2 linked regions of the Struthio camelus genome follow. The protein of the gene in region 2 interacts with the protein of the main gene of each other region in a pairwise test. Links are inferred from orthologs where the notes say so. Each region holds a gene or a part of one and is shown on either strand. Other genes may lie near its edges.

Region 1 (7,062 bases), on a different chromosome or scaffold from region 2:
TTATCTTTTCTTTCTTAATTTCAGAGGAAATATTTTAAAACATCCATTTGACCTCAGTCTTTTCAATTCAAAACTAGAATATTAAACTAGGAAAGCAAAGTGAAATTAATTGAAAACTATCCTAAGTTATCCAAAATGAGAAAAATACAATCTTAATAAAACACTGTTAGGATCTGTTCAGTTGGACCATCTGAGATTTTTTCATTTTGTGTATTTTTGCTATCTTCAGATAGCATACAGAGGATACAGATATTAGATAGCATACAGAGGATACAGATATTAGAGCCTCTGACTTCAGTATTCTCTGGTTACTAGAGTCCTCTTCAACAACAGCTATGACGGAAATTTAAAAGACATGCCGCCATAGTTGACTGCTCCCCCCCCCAATGTTAAACAACATGATAAAAACATCATTTCATGACCCTATGCAGAGACTTTTGCCTGCTGTTACACAAAATATATATCACTATTCCTTTACCAAGTCTTTGAAACGATAAGCAGGGAATAGCATACTTTTTCAGAGCAGAAGCAAAATAGTATTACTGACAGTGCCACTTGCCTCAAGGGCTCTGACTAGCACAAGTGACATCAACGAGTCTCTTTAATTTTCTATCTGAGATAAAAAGATGATGAACAGAAACTTGAAGCAAAGGAGCCACGCGCACGCTTTGGACAGCCTCACCACATAGAGCTATATTTGAAAAGTGGTTTGCCACCACCAAGTTTATAAATTTCCATCTGAACATGTTGAAGCTCAGAAGATCCTTTCAGCCGCAGTTTCCACCATTAACCAGGAAAACTTTACATTCATTTCCCTGTTCTTTCAAACCTTAAAACAAGACAAATTGGTCAAGAAATAGAAAACTAGCATTCAACAACAAAAGAAAGCCTCCACCAGGGCTTCTAAGAAAAATACTATTTACAGAAATATTATACATTTAAAAATTGACATTCAATTATTTACTGCAATTTGCTCCCGTTCTAGAACTATATTTTAAATAATCTATTTTATAAGAAACAATTTATATATAGATAACTTATATTTAGAGATGCTTTAAAATATTGATAACTTGGGTGCAAGATAAAATAACTCATAATGGTTGTCATAAATACATGCTCACTCTTGCACATCTCCTTGACTTAACTCCAGCCACAATCACTGCCCATTTCACTTTCCTCCTCTTTGCTGCCTTTCTTCTTCCTATTTCATGCCCTAAACAGAACTCCCTTCTTTGCAGGGAAAAAAAGACAGTAAATGCAGATTGCTAGATAATTCGTCCTGTTTGCATGTTTTATTCTTGTCCTCTGATACATTTGCATATTCTGTTCAGACTGCACACTTTCAAGAGAGTAGAACCTGCATTTTAGTCTGTGAAGTTCCCAGCCTAAAAGGGTTGCAACAATAGCTGGTCTCTCAATGTTTCCTTAATAACAATAACAATGTGTTCCACAGTTTAATTTCTTCTCGCTTCTTTAAAACCATTAACCAGAATACAGACATAAGAACACACTACATCCACAGGGTGACATGCAGTAATTGGTCTGAAAAAGTATCCTTTATCTATTTAAAGTCATAAACCTTTATTCATGTTATAGATCAAGGGCATAAGAACTCCAAATGAAGGACTGAAAGTTTAGGGAAAGCACGTCTTTTCACCTTTCCTTCCCGCTTAAGTTACCTTCTACTAAAGAGAGAAGATTCAGAAACGTCAGGTCCAAAATTTCAAGTTTGTTAAGAAGTACAATTCACAAACGTTTTATGCAACTTTCCTCTTTGAAGCTCAATTAAAATTCCAAGTTATAAACACTGTGCTTTGCACACCAAACACTGTTCACTATGACAGAAAACAAATGTACAAGTAGAGTTTCATTGTCCAGATCAGGTAAATATCCAGTATCTTTTCTATCTTAGAGAACTGCAGCATAAACAGAAGGACACAGGTGGTTTTGAATTGTTGCTCTTTAGCAACACATCCAAAAGCTATCTCAGCGCTTTAAACAAACAACACTGGGAATGAAAAAAAAAAAGAAGTACTTAGTTCATCCCCAACTTCAATGAAGAACACGTATCCTTATCCACTTGTCCACTTCTGCCCTTAAAACATTGTGGGCAAGTACAGAAGAAACTGCACAATAACACATGATCTTCCCCTATCACATGCCTAGCAGTCCGCTCATTTCACTCCGATAACTCTGCTCAGTCCCCGGGCACGAGCTCGGCCGTTACTCGGGGACCTCCGCACATCTGCTTTCTGGCACCCACCCCGGGAAAGCGTCTCTCCTTTCGGGCGCTACGAGCCCAACAGACCGAGCAAAGGCTTCTCCCCCCCCGCCCCCCCCCCCCCCGCCCCGAGGACAACCCTGCTGCAGGCGCACGGGCTCCCCGCAGCGCAGCACAGCCGCAGCCTGCGGAGGGCCCCGGCGGCAGGATCCCGCGGCGGCGGCGGGCGGACGAGACTCGGCCGGGGCCGGGGCCGGGGCCGGGGCCGGGACCCCCCCCCCCTCCCGCCGCCGCCCCCCCGACCCGGCCCGGCCGCCGCCCCCCGGCCCGGCGCTCACGCTCGAAGTCGGAGTCGGAGTCCTCGTCGCCGCGCTCGGGCTCCTCCTCGCCGTTGGACTCGGTCTGCATGGGCTCCCCGTCGAAGTTGACCCCCCTGCGGCCGCCGCCGCCGGCCGCCGCCGCCGCGGCCTCCTGGTCGCGGGCATCCCGCAGGCGGGCGAAGTAGTCGGCGGCGAAGCCGAGGAGGTCGGACGGCCGGTGCCGCAGCACCTCCACCGTGTAGCCCTGCAGCAGCTCCGTGAGGCCCGGCGGGATCTCGATGCTCATGGCGCCGCGAGTGCGGAGGCCGCCGCCGCCGCCTCCCGCCGCGGCCGCTGTGGCGGTGGCGGGCTCGGGCCTCCCTCGCGGGGCGCTGACTGACTCCCGCCGCTCCGGTCACGCCAGCCGCGCCGAGGGGAGGGGAAGGCAGGGGAGGGGGGAGGGGAGCGCCCCGGCCGCCGCGCTGCGCAGGCGCGGCCACGAGCGCGGGGCCGGCGGCCGCGCACGCGCCGAGGGGGGAAGCGCGTGCGTCACAGTGAGGCGCGGCGCGAGCGCGAGCGGGAGCGGCGGCGGCGGCGGGCGCGAGGGCGGTGGCGGGGCAGTGCGCAGGCGCGGCGCGGCGCCGAGGGGAGCAGGCGCGAGGCGGGCGTTCTGGCGGGAACCCTGAGGCGCCGCGGGGCGCGCGGGCTCGTGCTCGTGCTCGTGCTCGGCGCCTCGAGGCCACCAACGGCCGCGGCGCCATGAGCAACGGGCGGCCAGCAGCGTGCGGAGCGTCAAAGAGGCTTTGCGTGGTGTTGGCGAATCTGACTTTGACGTTATTCCCGGAACGAAGCTAAGGGCTTTGTGTAGTGACGAGAAAATACAGGCTGTGGAAGCTGGTGGAGACTCTTGCTTCTCGTCATCCGGCATCTTCAATATGTAGAAGTATTTATAGCGTAAGGAAGGTTTTTTTACAGCTTTTTTCAGGTTAGTCACCACATATGTTAACTTATTTTCTTTCCCCTCTCCTTTCTGCAAAGCCTCAGTGTTGGTGTATATGTTTCCAAAGAGCAGGGATGGAAGAAGGAGGTTTTCTTTGGTTTTGACTGGGATTAGGTTTTGGCCCTCTTTGAGCCCTCTAGTTGCTCGTCAGAATAACTCAGTTAATAAATACTCTTAAAAGCAGCGAGCGCAAGAGGAGTCAGCAGGTCTTTGTACCTCTTGGTAAAATCTTTATAAAGCCCCAGTGTCATCATCATGACATGGTGATAATGGCATTGATCTACTTCATACCGCACATGTGAGCGTGGTAAAGATGAAGTTTTTCTGAAATGTGAAGTATTTCATCAATTGCTCCTATGTGTGAGCAATGGAGATGCCTGTTCATATGTTGGCAAATGAGTTTTATTCAGATCGTTGCTTATATTCCTTGTAAAAAATGTACACGCTTCGCGCTGTTATCTGTTTATATGTGCAGGGAAGGTTTGGCAGGTGCCCAGTGGTAGACTACTCACTGTGTGGCATGGAGCCATCCGCCCTTAAGATTTGGAGTTGTTGGAAAGCTAGTCTTGGAAGGAAACAGGCCTGTACAAACAGGAGTCGAAGGGAACAGGGATGTTGGCTTGGTGACGCCACTGCATGTTGTCAGTGTAAATATTTTTATTTAATTCTTCTTTTGTTTCAACAATAAAAGGGCAGAAATTGACATGTACTCAAAATACAGTTTTAATTTACAAGCTCAGAATTGGCTGAGGCAATTTACTGTGTGTTTTGTTTCTGTTTGCTCATGTGCCAAAAGGTCCCATCACATATCCAGATGGTTCTTACCACACTCCCATACAAAGATAGTCTGTTCATCGCTGTTGCATGAAGGGCACAACTGAGGATCCCAGAACACCGTATTCAGAGCTTTTTCTGACTATTTTCTGTGAGAGGGGCCACTGGGAAATTTTGTGGCTCTTATTCGGCACCCACTGTCTCTGTTACAAGATGTTCTTTGTAATATGGTTCTCATATTTTTATGTAGGGTAAGGTTACTTCTGTTATCCATACTTTCTGTTATCCATACTAAATTAACAAATTAGAAACAATCATAGGAGGTAGATTTGCCACATCTCATCAATTTATCTGGATTCTGGAGCTGTTTCCGTTTCTGTTGCTTTTTACAGCAGGCACAACAAGCTATATTCCTTTTCTTGAAAGATAATTCATGACAGTTGTTGCTTTTTCATGTCACCCCTCTCTTACTATCTTTCTGATGGTCTCAAACAATACCAGAGCACGCTGCACCTGCTCGATGTGCATACTTTATCTGCTGATAAGGAACTGTTACAAGGAAATGGTTTTGATCAATGAGAAAACCATATTTTGTTAGTTTCCACAAAAAATATATTTCAGATTTCTGATGAGATCTTCTTTCTTTTGCCAGTTCGGTGCCAAAGATGTTATTGCTGGTAAGGAGGTAAAAATGGAATTTAAAAAATGCTGTGAAAATGAAAAAAGAAAATAAAAAATATAAACGTAAAGAACAGAAAGCTTTGGCAAGTAGGGTCAGGAAAGAAAGAGAATCGGCAATTGCAAGGGAAGACAATTATTTTTCTTTCCCAGTCTCTTGCACAACAGCCAGCCACCTGACAATTGCCTGCTTTTGGCATTACTCAGCTCATGTATCAGCTTTTAACATTTGTTGATAATTTTCTCTCATTTGTGCCTGTGTATATAAATCTGGTTATTTATATGAAAAAATGTGTTACCAGTAAATATTGTTAAGTCTCTGAAGAGCTACATTGTGTTAGCCTTCTGATATTTATATGTCCACATGTAACTAATCAGCTTCACAGGAACATAAACAGTGAAGGTCTGTTCAGCCTCTCTCTGAAGGTCAGTGCACAAAATAAAGAGCATCCAAGGTCACATGAAGCATATTTCCAAGCTGTTTTATACCACAGTTTGTCACATTTCTTTGTATACTTTTTGTTTTGTAACAGTCAGAATTGATGGCACGTTTATGCAAGAGACTTGTCTGTGATCAAGTTAATGGTAATACTGCATGCTGTGCATACATATAACTCATCATAAGCTTTTCTTTCTCACTAGGTTTGCATTAGCTTTTTAATTATTATAATAATAAGCACCCACATTAAAATAATACTAGAAAAGATATTAGGAAATGCATTTTCGGGCTTAATTTTGTCCCCTCTATAATAATGTCTTTAATTTACACAGCATGACCAACACTTGTTTTTCTCCACTGGGTCCCTGGTTTACTCAGCACATGATATAGAATTAGAGTTGAGTGACTGATGGATCTGGCCCCCAAAGTATTTCCATCAATTATTTTTAGGATCATATTTTCTCTTTTTTTTTTTTTTAATAACTGAGAACTATTCCTATATTTTTCTTGTACTCTTGCTTTTATGCTCCTAAATGTTGAGGCCTCTTCCCCTCACTCTACCTATCCTAGCCAGTCTTATGTAATTTTGGAGCACAGTTAGTGAAACTATGATGGAACTTCAGTGTTTGTCCTGCCAGGAGGAGAGGTGAAGTTGCAAGTTAAATGTCAAAATAGTCTGCGTAGTCTTGGCACTGGAGAAACATAATCAGATTAACCCTCCAGACTGGCTCTTTAAAAGTAAAATAAATCCTGTTATAACAGGTAATAATTTACTTCTCAATAAACATGTCAGCACCAGCCAGAGTTCAGATGCTATATCAACATATGTACATCTTGGATTAATTACGTTTGCCTTCAAATTCACTACAAGTAATTCAGCACAAGGATAATGTGAGAACACATTAAGTATTCTGATGGTTGATATTAGAAAACAGAATCTCTTGTTTAAGGGTAGGTGGATTTATTATCATGAGCATAGCTCTTGCGTGTTATCGTAGGTGACACGCTAGCAAGCCCTTTAAAACACATATATTCCAAAACAGTCCTGAGTAAAAGTCAGCTTTAGGGCCTTCTATAAACAAAGTGAAATCCTGCCTGCTGAATTGTGGAATTCATTGCTGTGGGATGCTGTTGAAGCAAAAAGTGAGAATTCATGAGGAACAGAGTCAGCAGTGGCTTTGAAATTGAGAGATTGGCTGCAGCTTTTGGCTTTAAATTATCTGTTGGTTCCAGGTAGAAGGAAAGATCATCTATAGTTGCCCTGTTTCTTATATCACTTTTCTAAGCATCTGCTAGTGAGCACTCTTGGGACAGATCATTGGGCTTGAGTACCCTTTGGTCTGACCCACTTAAGCTTCATGAATTAATCTAGTCAGGGTCCAGAGCATCTTAACACTGTAGGTACTATTTTTTATGCATTGTCCTATACCAGGATGGTTCATATTAAGAAGTTTTAAGCCAATATTAAATAATTCAAAGGCCACATTAATAAGTATAAAAAACATGATAAAGTCAAATAAGTTAGGCATCGCATTTGTGACCTCTTAATCAGATCTGCTTGCCATTTTCCTATGTTTAGCTGCCTGGTAACTAGTTTATGCTATGCAGATGTAAAACGTATCCAACCAACATCATGGAGCCATAGAGCTGA
Region 2 (7,689 bases):
CCCTCACCGTCCTCCATGCCGCGCGGGCCCAGGCGTCCGGGAGGAGGCGGCCGCAGGGCGATGACCCCGGGAGAGGGGGGGGTGCGCAGACTTTGTCCCTGGGGCCGGGGTGGCAGCGACGCGGGCGGGGACAGGCCACGGGGACACCCCCCCCCCAGTATGGACCAGTATGGCCCATGCCCCCACCGGCCCCGATATGGGGGGAACAAGGGACTCTAGGGGATGTGGCACCGCTGTTAAGGACAGTGCCATCGGGGGACATGACACCGCCACGGGGGGACATGACACCGCCACGGGGGGACACACAGACCCCCAAACTGGTGTCCCCAGTGGCCACCAAGACCCCAAATCAGTGTCCCCTGAACGCACAAGCCCTGCTGATGTCCCCAGTGCCTGCAGGGACCCTGAAACTGGTGTCCCCAGTTCCCCCTGGACCCCCAGAAAGTGCTGGTGTCCCCAATGGCCACCGTGACCCCAAAACCAGTGTCCACCAGGACCCCCAAAACCAGTGTCCCCAGGACCTGCCTAGGCCCCCAGACCAGCGTCCCCAGTACCCTCCAATACTCCCAGACCAGTGTCCCCAGCACCCGCCTGGGCCACCAGACCAATATTCCCAGTGCGCCCCAATACCCCCAGACCAGTGTCCCCACCGTCCCCCAATACTCCCAGATCAGCATCCCCAGCGCCCACCTGGGCCCCCAGATCAACGTCCCCAGTACCCCCCAATACCCCCAGACTAGAGTCCCTAGCATCCACCTGGGCCCCCAGACCAGTGTCCCCCAATATCCCCAGAACCAGCATCCCCAGGACCCACCTGCCTGGGGCCCCAGACCAGCATCCCTAGTGTCCCCCAATACCCCAGAACCAGCGTCCCCAGTGCCCGCCTGGGCCCCCAGACCAGTGTCTCCAGTGTCCCCCAATACCCCCAGAACCAGCGTCCCCAGCATCCGCCTGGGCCCCCAGACCAGTGTCTCCAGTGTCCCCCAATACCCCCAGACCAGCGTCCCCAGTGTCCACCAATATCCCCAGAACCAGCGTCCCCAGCACCCGCCTGGGCCCCCAGACCAGCGTCCCCAGTGTCCCCCAATATCCCCAGACCAGCGTCCCCAGTGTCCACCAATATCCCCAGAACCAGCGCCCGCCTGGGCCCCCAGATCAACGTCCCCAGTGTCCCCCAATACCCCCAGACCAGCGTCCCCAGCACCCGCCTGGGCCCCCAGACCAGCGTCCCCAGTGTCCCCCAATACCCCCAGACCAGCGTCCCCAGCACCCGCCTGGGCCCCCAGATCAACGTCCCCAGTGTCCCCCAATACCCCCAGACCAGCGTCCCCAGCACCCGTCTGGGCCCCCAGACCAGTGTCCCCAGTGTCCCCCAATACTCCCAGACCAGCGTCCCCAGCACCCACCTGGACCCCCAGATCAACGTCCCCAGTGTCCACCAATATCCCCAGACCAGCGTCCCCAGCACCCGCCTGGGCCCCCAGACCAGCGTCCCCAGTGTCCCCCAATACCCCCAGACCAGCGTCCCCAGCACCCGCCTGGGCCCCCAGACCAGCGTCCCCAGTGTCCCCCAATACCCCCAGACCAGCGTCCCCAGTGCCCGCCTGGGCCCCCAGACCAGCGTCCCCAGTGTCCCCCAATACCCCCAGACCAGCGTCCCCAGTGCCCGCCTGGGCCCCCAGACCAGCGTCCCCAGTGTCCCCCAATACCCCCAGACCAGCGTCCCCAGCGCCCGCCTGGGCCCCCAGACCAGTGTCCCCAGTGTCCCCCAATACCCCCAGACCAGCGTCCCCAGCACCCGCCTGGACCCCCAGATCAAAGTCCCCAGTGTCCCCCAGTACCCCCAGACCAGCGTCCCCAGCACCCGCCTGGACCCCCAAAGCCTGCTGGTGTCTCCAGCACCCCGGGGACCCAGGCGTCCGGGCTGCCCCCCCGCTGACCTCGGGACCCGCGTGGGGGCGGGAGGAGGCGCCAGAGACCCCCCCGCCCCCGCTGCACCTGCCGAGCCCCGCCCCTTTCCCCAGGCCCCGCCCCATCCCCATGGCAACCCCCAACGTGCCCCGCCCCCGTCCCCATGGCAACCCCTGCGCGCCCCGCCCCTTCCCCCCCACCTCCGCCCCGTCCCCATGGCGACGCCCACGTACCCCGCCCCTTCCCCGCGCCCCGCCCCCGCGCCCCTGGCAGCCCCCGCGCGCCCCGCCCCCGCGCCCATGGCAACCCCTGGCATGCCCCGCCCCTTCCGCCAAGCCCCGCCCCCCCACCGTAACCCCCTCCCCCGGGGCAAACTGCCCCAGGGTCCCTGTGCCCTCCGGATCCGCCCCCGCCACCCCGGGGGTCCCTGCCCAGTCCAGCTCGGTTCAGCTCGGCTCCCCCCGATCCGGTTCGGCCTCCTCCCCCCCCCCCGGTGACCCCCGGTTGACCCGCGCTCAGCCTGGTCCCCCCCCCCGGTTCGGCCTGCTTCACCCCCGGCTCCAGCCCGGCCCGGTTCTCCTCAGCTCGGTGGCCCCCGATCCAGCTCGGCCCGCTTCCGCCGGTTCCGGTGCCCCTCCTCCCCGGTCCAGCCTAACCTAGGGCCCCCCGGGTCCAATTGCCCCCGACTCAGATCCCCTCGGTCCCACCCGGTTCCGCCGGGCCCGGCACCCCTCATGGTCCGGCCTGTCTCGATTCCGCCGGTCCCACTTCGTCCCAGCTCGGTCCCGCCAGATCCAGCTCGACTCGGTTCCGCCGGTCCCAGTTCCCCCCCAGCCCCGCCCGGTTCCCCTCCAGCTCATCCCCCTCCCCGGTCCAGCCCAGCCCGGTTCCGCCGGGCCCAGTTCCCCCCGGCGCAGCTCGGCCCGGCCCACCCTCGCCCGGTTGTCCCGGTTCGGCCCGGCTCGGCCTGCTGCCACCTGAGCCCGGTTCCCCCCGGCCCGGTTCCGCCCGGTACCCGCCGAGAGAGGGAGGGAGGGCGGCCGGCCCGGGGCGGCGCGGCGCCGGTACTCACCGCTCTCCAGCTCGCCGCCCTTCTTGGCCGCGGCCGCGTTGCCCATGTCGGGCCCGGCTCGGCTCGGCTCGGCTCGGCCCGGCCGCCCCGCTCCCCGGCGGACCGCCCCGCCCCGCCCCCCGCCGCCCATTGGCGCCGCCGCGCCGCCGGCGCCGTCCCATTGGCCGCTCGCCTCTGACGCCGCGCCTCGCGCGCCCGCCCCGCCGCAGCCATTGGGCCCGGCCGCCGCCGCCGCGCCGCCTTCCATTGGCTGTCCGGCCCGTCCCTCCGGCGCTCGGCCCGCCCCCGCCAGCCGCCCATTGGCTGCGGCGGGCTAAAAATAGAACCCGGGAGGGTTGGGGGCGGGGGGGGAGAGAAGGTCCATGGGAGGGGCGGGGCGTCAGCTGAGGGGGCGGGACCAGCGGTGATTGACAGTAAGTGGGGAGGGGCGTGGAGACAGCTGGGTACCGGGGGCGGGGCGATGGGAGGGGAGGGGCTTGGAGGGCCAGGCGGGTGGGGGGAGGGGCTAGGCGTCCCTCCCCCCCCCCCGCTTGGCGCACCTCCCCCACCTTCTTGCCCCACCCCCCGTCGGGTTTGGGGCCCAGGAGCCCCGAGGGGAGCGGGGCGGCCCGGGTTTCACCGTGGGGCTGCGCCTGCACCCCCACCCCCAGCCTGCATCAGCCCCCGGCAGCAGGGCGGGGCTTCCCGGCTCCCGTAGTGGCCGGCACCGCCTTGCCCCGCCCCCGCCGCCCCGCCCCGCCAATCCCCGCGCCGCCCGCCGCCGCCGCCGCCGGGAGAGGCGCGCGCCCGCCGCTTCCCCGCCTCCCGCTCGCGCGCCGCCGCCAATCGGCAGGCTCTTCCAGGCCGCCAATGGGGAGGGTGGAAGGGAAGCGGCTGCCCAATGGGAAGGGCGAGGGGGCGGGGCGAATGGCGGCCGGGGCGCGGTGCGGAGCGGCGCAGCCCCGACACGCGCATGCGCCATGAGCGGGCGCCGGGCCCCGGGCGCTGTTCGCGCATGCTCCCCGCGCATGCGCGCGCCCGGCCTTGCACACGCGGCCCTTGCACACTCGCCCCGGGGCTGCCTAGCCTTGCACGGGGGCTCCTGGCACACCGCCCTTGCACGCCCATCGTGCGCGCTCACGTTCCGGCTTTGCGCCAGAGCTCCTTGCACGCTGCTCCCTTGTGCCAGCTCCCTGTGTGCTGGTGCACCAGGCGCCTTGCACACTCAGCCCTTGCACGCTTACCCTTGCTTCTGTACCCAGCTTGCACGGGGCTCCTTGCACACTTGGCCCTCACAAACTTGCCCCAGATGCTCACAGCCCAGCCTTGCATGGGAGCTCCTTGCCCGCATGGCCCTTGCACACTCCCCCAGCCTACTCCCGCTCTCGCCTTGCACTAATTACTGGCACTAATTACCCCTCCCCCATTGTTGACTACAGACCCCCCCTCCCCAGTGAAGCCATTTGCATATGCTAATTATAAGCAGGGCTAATGATAGCCAGCAGCAGGGCTCTTCCTCATCCCCCCCTGCTGGCAGGGGACATGTGACCTACACGTGTGACCCTGCTCGTGCATGGCTGCATGCACATGTGTGTGATGGTGGTCACACGTGTGAGAGCCTGCTCACACGTACGTGGCTGCACTGACACACGTGTGATTGCACACACGCCTGTGTGGCAATCCGCCCACGCACGTGCAAATATGTTTTCATGACTATGTCATGCATGATGGGGGTCATGTGTGAGGGAGCGTGTGCACATGCGTGACCTTTTCTGTGCAGCAGTGCGCTCACGTGTCCGTGACCACGCTGGTATGAGTGCGAGCGCGCGCGTGCACGTGACACTGCTCGTGCGTGCACAGGGCCGTGTTCACATATGTGTGCGTGTGCCAGCTCACACACGTACACGCGTGTGCTCACGTGTGCGAGGCCCTGCTCAGGCGTGTGGCTGGCCGTGCTCACATGTGCGTGCGTGTCTGTGCTCACGCGCGTGTCTGTACATCGGGTGGGGCAGGGGCTGCCAGGACATCTGAGCCCCCTCCCCCAAAGGAGGAGGGGGGGCCTGCCCCTCCCCCGTTCCCGTAAGTCAGGCTGGACTCCGGGCGGGGGAGGGGGCGGGGCCTGCCCGTGACACCGGGGTGACCCTTGACCCCCGCCCTATCCAGCCCCCTCCGTGCTGTCTGTGAATGGCAGGCCAGGTTTTGCCCCTCACTCCATTCCCAAGGGTGGATCCAGGCCGGGTTTTACCCCCGCTCCCCTCCCAGGGCGGATCCAGGTCGGGATTTACCCTCCAGTCCCCTCCCAGGGGGTAGATCCAGGCCGGGTTTTACCCCCGCTCCCCTCCCAGGGCGGATCCAGGTCGGGATTTACCCTCCAGTCCCCTCCCAGGGGGTAGATCCAGGCCGGGTTTTACCCCCGCTCCCCTCCCGGGGGCAAATCCGCACCAGGTTTTCTGCCTGCCGCCAGGGCGGGAAGAGGCTGTTGCCCCGCACCGCTCCCCCCTCCCGCCCCCGTTACCGGCTTCCTCACACGGTAAACCCTCCCCCCACCACGTTACCGGGCACCTCACGTGATTGCCCCCCCCCTTTAACGATACCCTCATGCTCTTCCCTCCTCCGTAACGGTCCCCTCATCCTCCCCCCCATAACGGTCCCTGTAACGGTCCCCTCACACCCGCCCCCCCCATAACGGTCCCCTCATCCCCCCCTGTAAAGGTCCCTTCACACCCGCCCCCCCCCCATAACGGTCCCCTCACACCCGCCCCCCCATAACGGTCCCTACATCCCCCCCATAACGGTCCCTGTAACGGTCCCCTCACACCCGCCCCCCCCATAACGGTCCCTTCATCCCCCCCTGTAACGGTCCCCTCACACCCGCCCCCCCCATAACGGTCCCCTCATCCCCCCCTGTAAAGGTCCCTTCACACCCGCCCCCCCCCATAACGGTCCCCTCACACCCGCCCCCCCATAACGGTCCCTTCATCCCCCCCATAACGGTCCCTGTAACGGTCCCCTCACACCCGCCCCCCCCATAACGGTCCCCTCACCCCCTCCCCCATAACGGTCCCCTCACACCCGCCCCCCCCATAACGGTCCCCTCATCCCCCCCATAACGGTCCCCTCACACCCGCCCCCATAACGGTCCCCTCATCCCCCCACCATAACAGTCCCCTCACCCCCTCTCCCATAACGGTCCCCTCACACCCGCCCCCCCATAACGGTCCCCTCATCCCCCCCTGTAACGGTCCCCTCACACCCGCCCCCCCATAACGGTCCCCTCATCCCCTCCCCCATAACGGTCCCCTCACACCCGCCCCCACCATAACGGTCTCCTCACCCCCCCCCCCCATAACGGTCCCCTCACACCCGCCCCCCCCGCCCGGTACCGGCGGCCCTGTGGGCGGGGCCGCGCGGCGCCCCGCCCCCCGGTGAGTGACGCGGGCGGGGCGGGGCGGGGCGAGCGGTGCTCGCCGCGGGGGGGGGGGGTGGCGCTGCCGGGGGGGGGGCCGCGCCGCCCGCACCGCCCGCGCCGTCGCCGCATGGAGCTGCCCCCCCGGGCCCGCGCGCCCCCGCAGGTACGGGCGCCGCCGGGGCGGGGGGGGGCGTGCAGAGCCGGTGGGGGGGCGTGCAATGCGGGGGGGGCGCCGTGTAGACCCGGGGGGGATGTGCAAAGAGGAGGGGGGTCGTGCATCGCGGGGGGGGGGCGCCGTGCTGACCGGGGGGGTCGTGCGATGCGGGGGGGGGGGGACAGCCGGTGCGGGGCGTGCAATGCGGGGACCCGTGCGGGTTGAGCGACAGTGTGCAATGCGGGAGGGGGGGGCGCCGTGCAGAGCGGGGGGGGCTGTGCAAAGAGGGGGGGGTATCATGCAATACGGGGGGGGGCGTGCAAAGCGGGTGGGGGCACCGTCGGTGCAGGGCGTGTAATGCGGGGGGGGATTGTGCAATGAGGGGGAAGGCGCCGTGCAAACCGGGGGGGCACCGTGCAAACCGGGTGGGGGGCACTGTGCAATAAGGGGGGGCAGCGCCGATGCGGGGCGTACAATGTCGGGGGGGGGCGCATAGCAGACCGGGAGGCCGTGCAGTGCGGGGGGGGGGCCGTGCAAACCGGGGGGCGTCATGCAAAGTGGGGGGGGCCGTGCAATATAGAGGAGGGCATCGTGCAGTGGGGGGGCACCGTGCTGTCCGGGGAGCACCGGGAGATGCGGGGCGGGGGGCATGAAAACCAGAGGGGGGGGTCGTTCAATGCGGGGGGGGGCCTCCGTGCCATGGGGACCCGTGTAAAACGGGGGGGGGGCTAGCCAAGTCGGGGGAGCGGGGAATGGAGCCCCCCCCGGCCATCAGGAGTGCGGGGGGGGCCTGTGCAATGGGGGGGATTGCAATGGGAGGGGCGCGCAGTGCGGGGGGGCAGCGGGGAGGGCGCATATTCCAATGGGGGGGCTTATTTCGGCCCCCCCGGCCGACAGCTCGAGGAGGGGGTCTCTTCCCCCCCCGCAGCCCCTGGACCGGGGGGGGCACCGCCCCCCCCCACTGCAGCAGCGGGGCCGGGTGGGGGGGGGGGGCACCCCCGGTACCGTAATGTCTAGAGAGGCGGAGCCGTGAGACCGCTCCGGCCACGGTGAGGGGGGGTCGACGCCCCCTCCCGGTACCGTAATGTCTGGAGAGGCGGAGGCCCGAGATCGCTCCCGCCGCTGAGGGGGGGCGACTCCCCCCTCCCGGTACCGTAATGTCTG

What was found. The genes of interacting proteins can lie anywhere in the genome.
Region 1: the proteins of cAMP-dependent protein kinase catalytic subunit alpha (region 2) and PRKAR2A interact in a protein complementation assay, tested with the Homo sapiens proteins (2 studies listed by BioGRID). The link is inferred for Struthio camelus from reciprocal best matches to the Homo sapiens genes PRKACA and PRKAR2A.

The regions. Positions count from the first base shown.
Region 1 is NC_090955.1:10,250,228-10,257,289, reverse strand, and holds the start of PRKAR2A (cAMP-dependent protein kinase type II-alpha regulatory subunit), read right to left. Parts: upstream 3,002-7,062; 5' UTR 2,828-3,001; coding exon 2,560-2,827; intron 1-2,559. UniProt on the Homo sapiens protein: Regulatory subunit of the cAMP-dependent protein kinases involved in cAMP signaling in cells. Type II regulatory chains mediate membrane association by binding to anchoring proteins, including the MAP2 kinase.
Region 2 is NC_090972.1:4,065,300-4,072,988, forward strand, and holds the start of cAMP-dependent protein kinase catalytic subunit alpha, read right to left. Parts: upstream 3,105-7,689; 5' UTR 3,030-3,104; coding exon 2,984-3,029; intron 135-2,983; exon of another isoform or gene 18-134; coding exon of another isoform or gene 8-17; intron 1-7.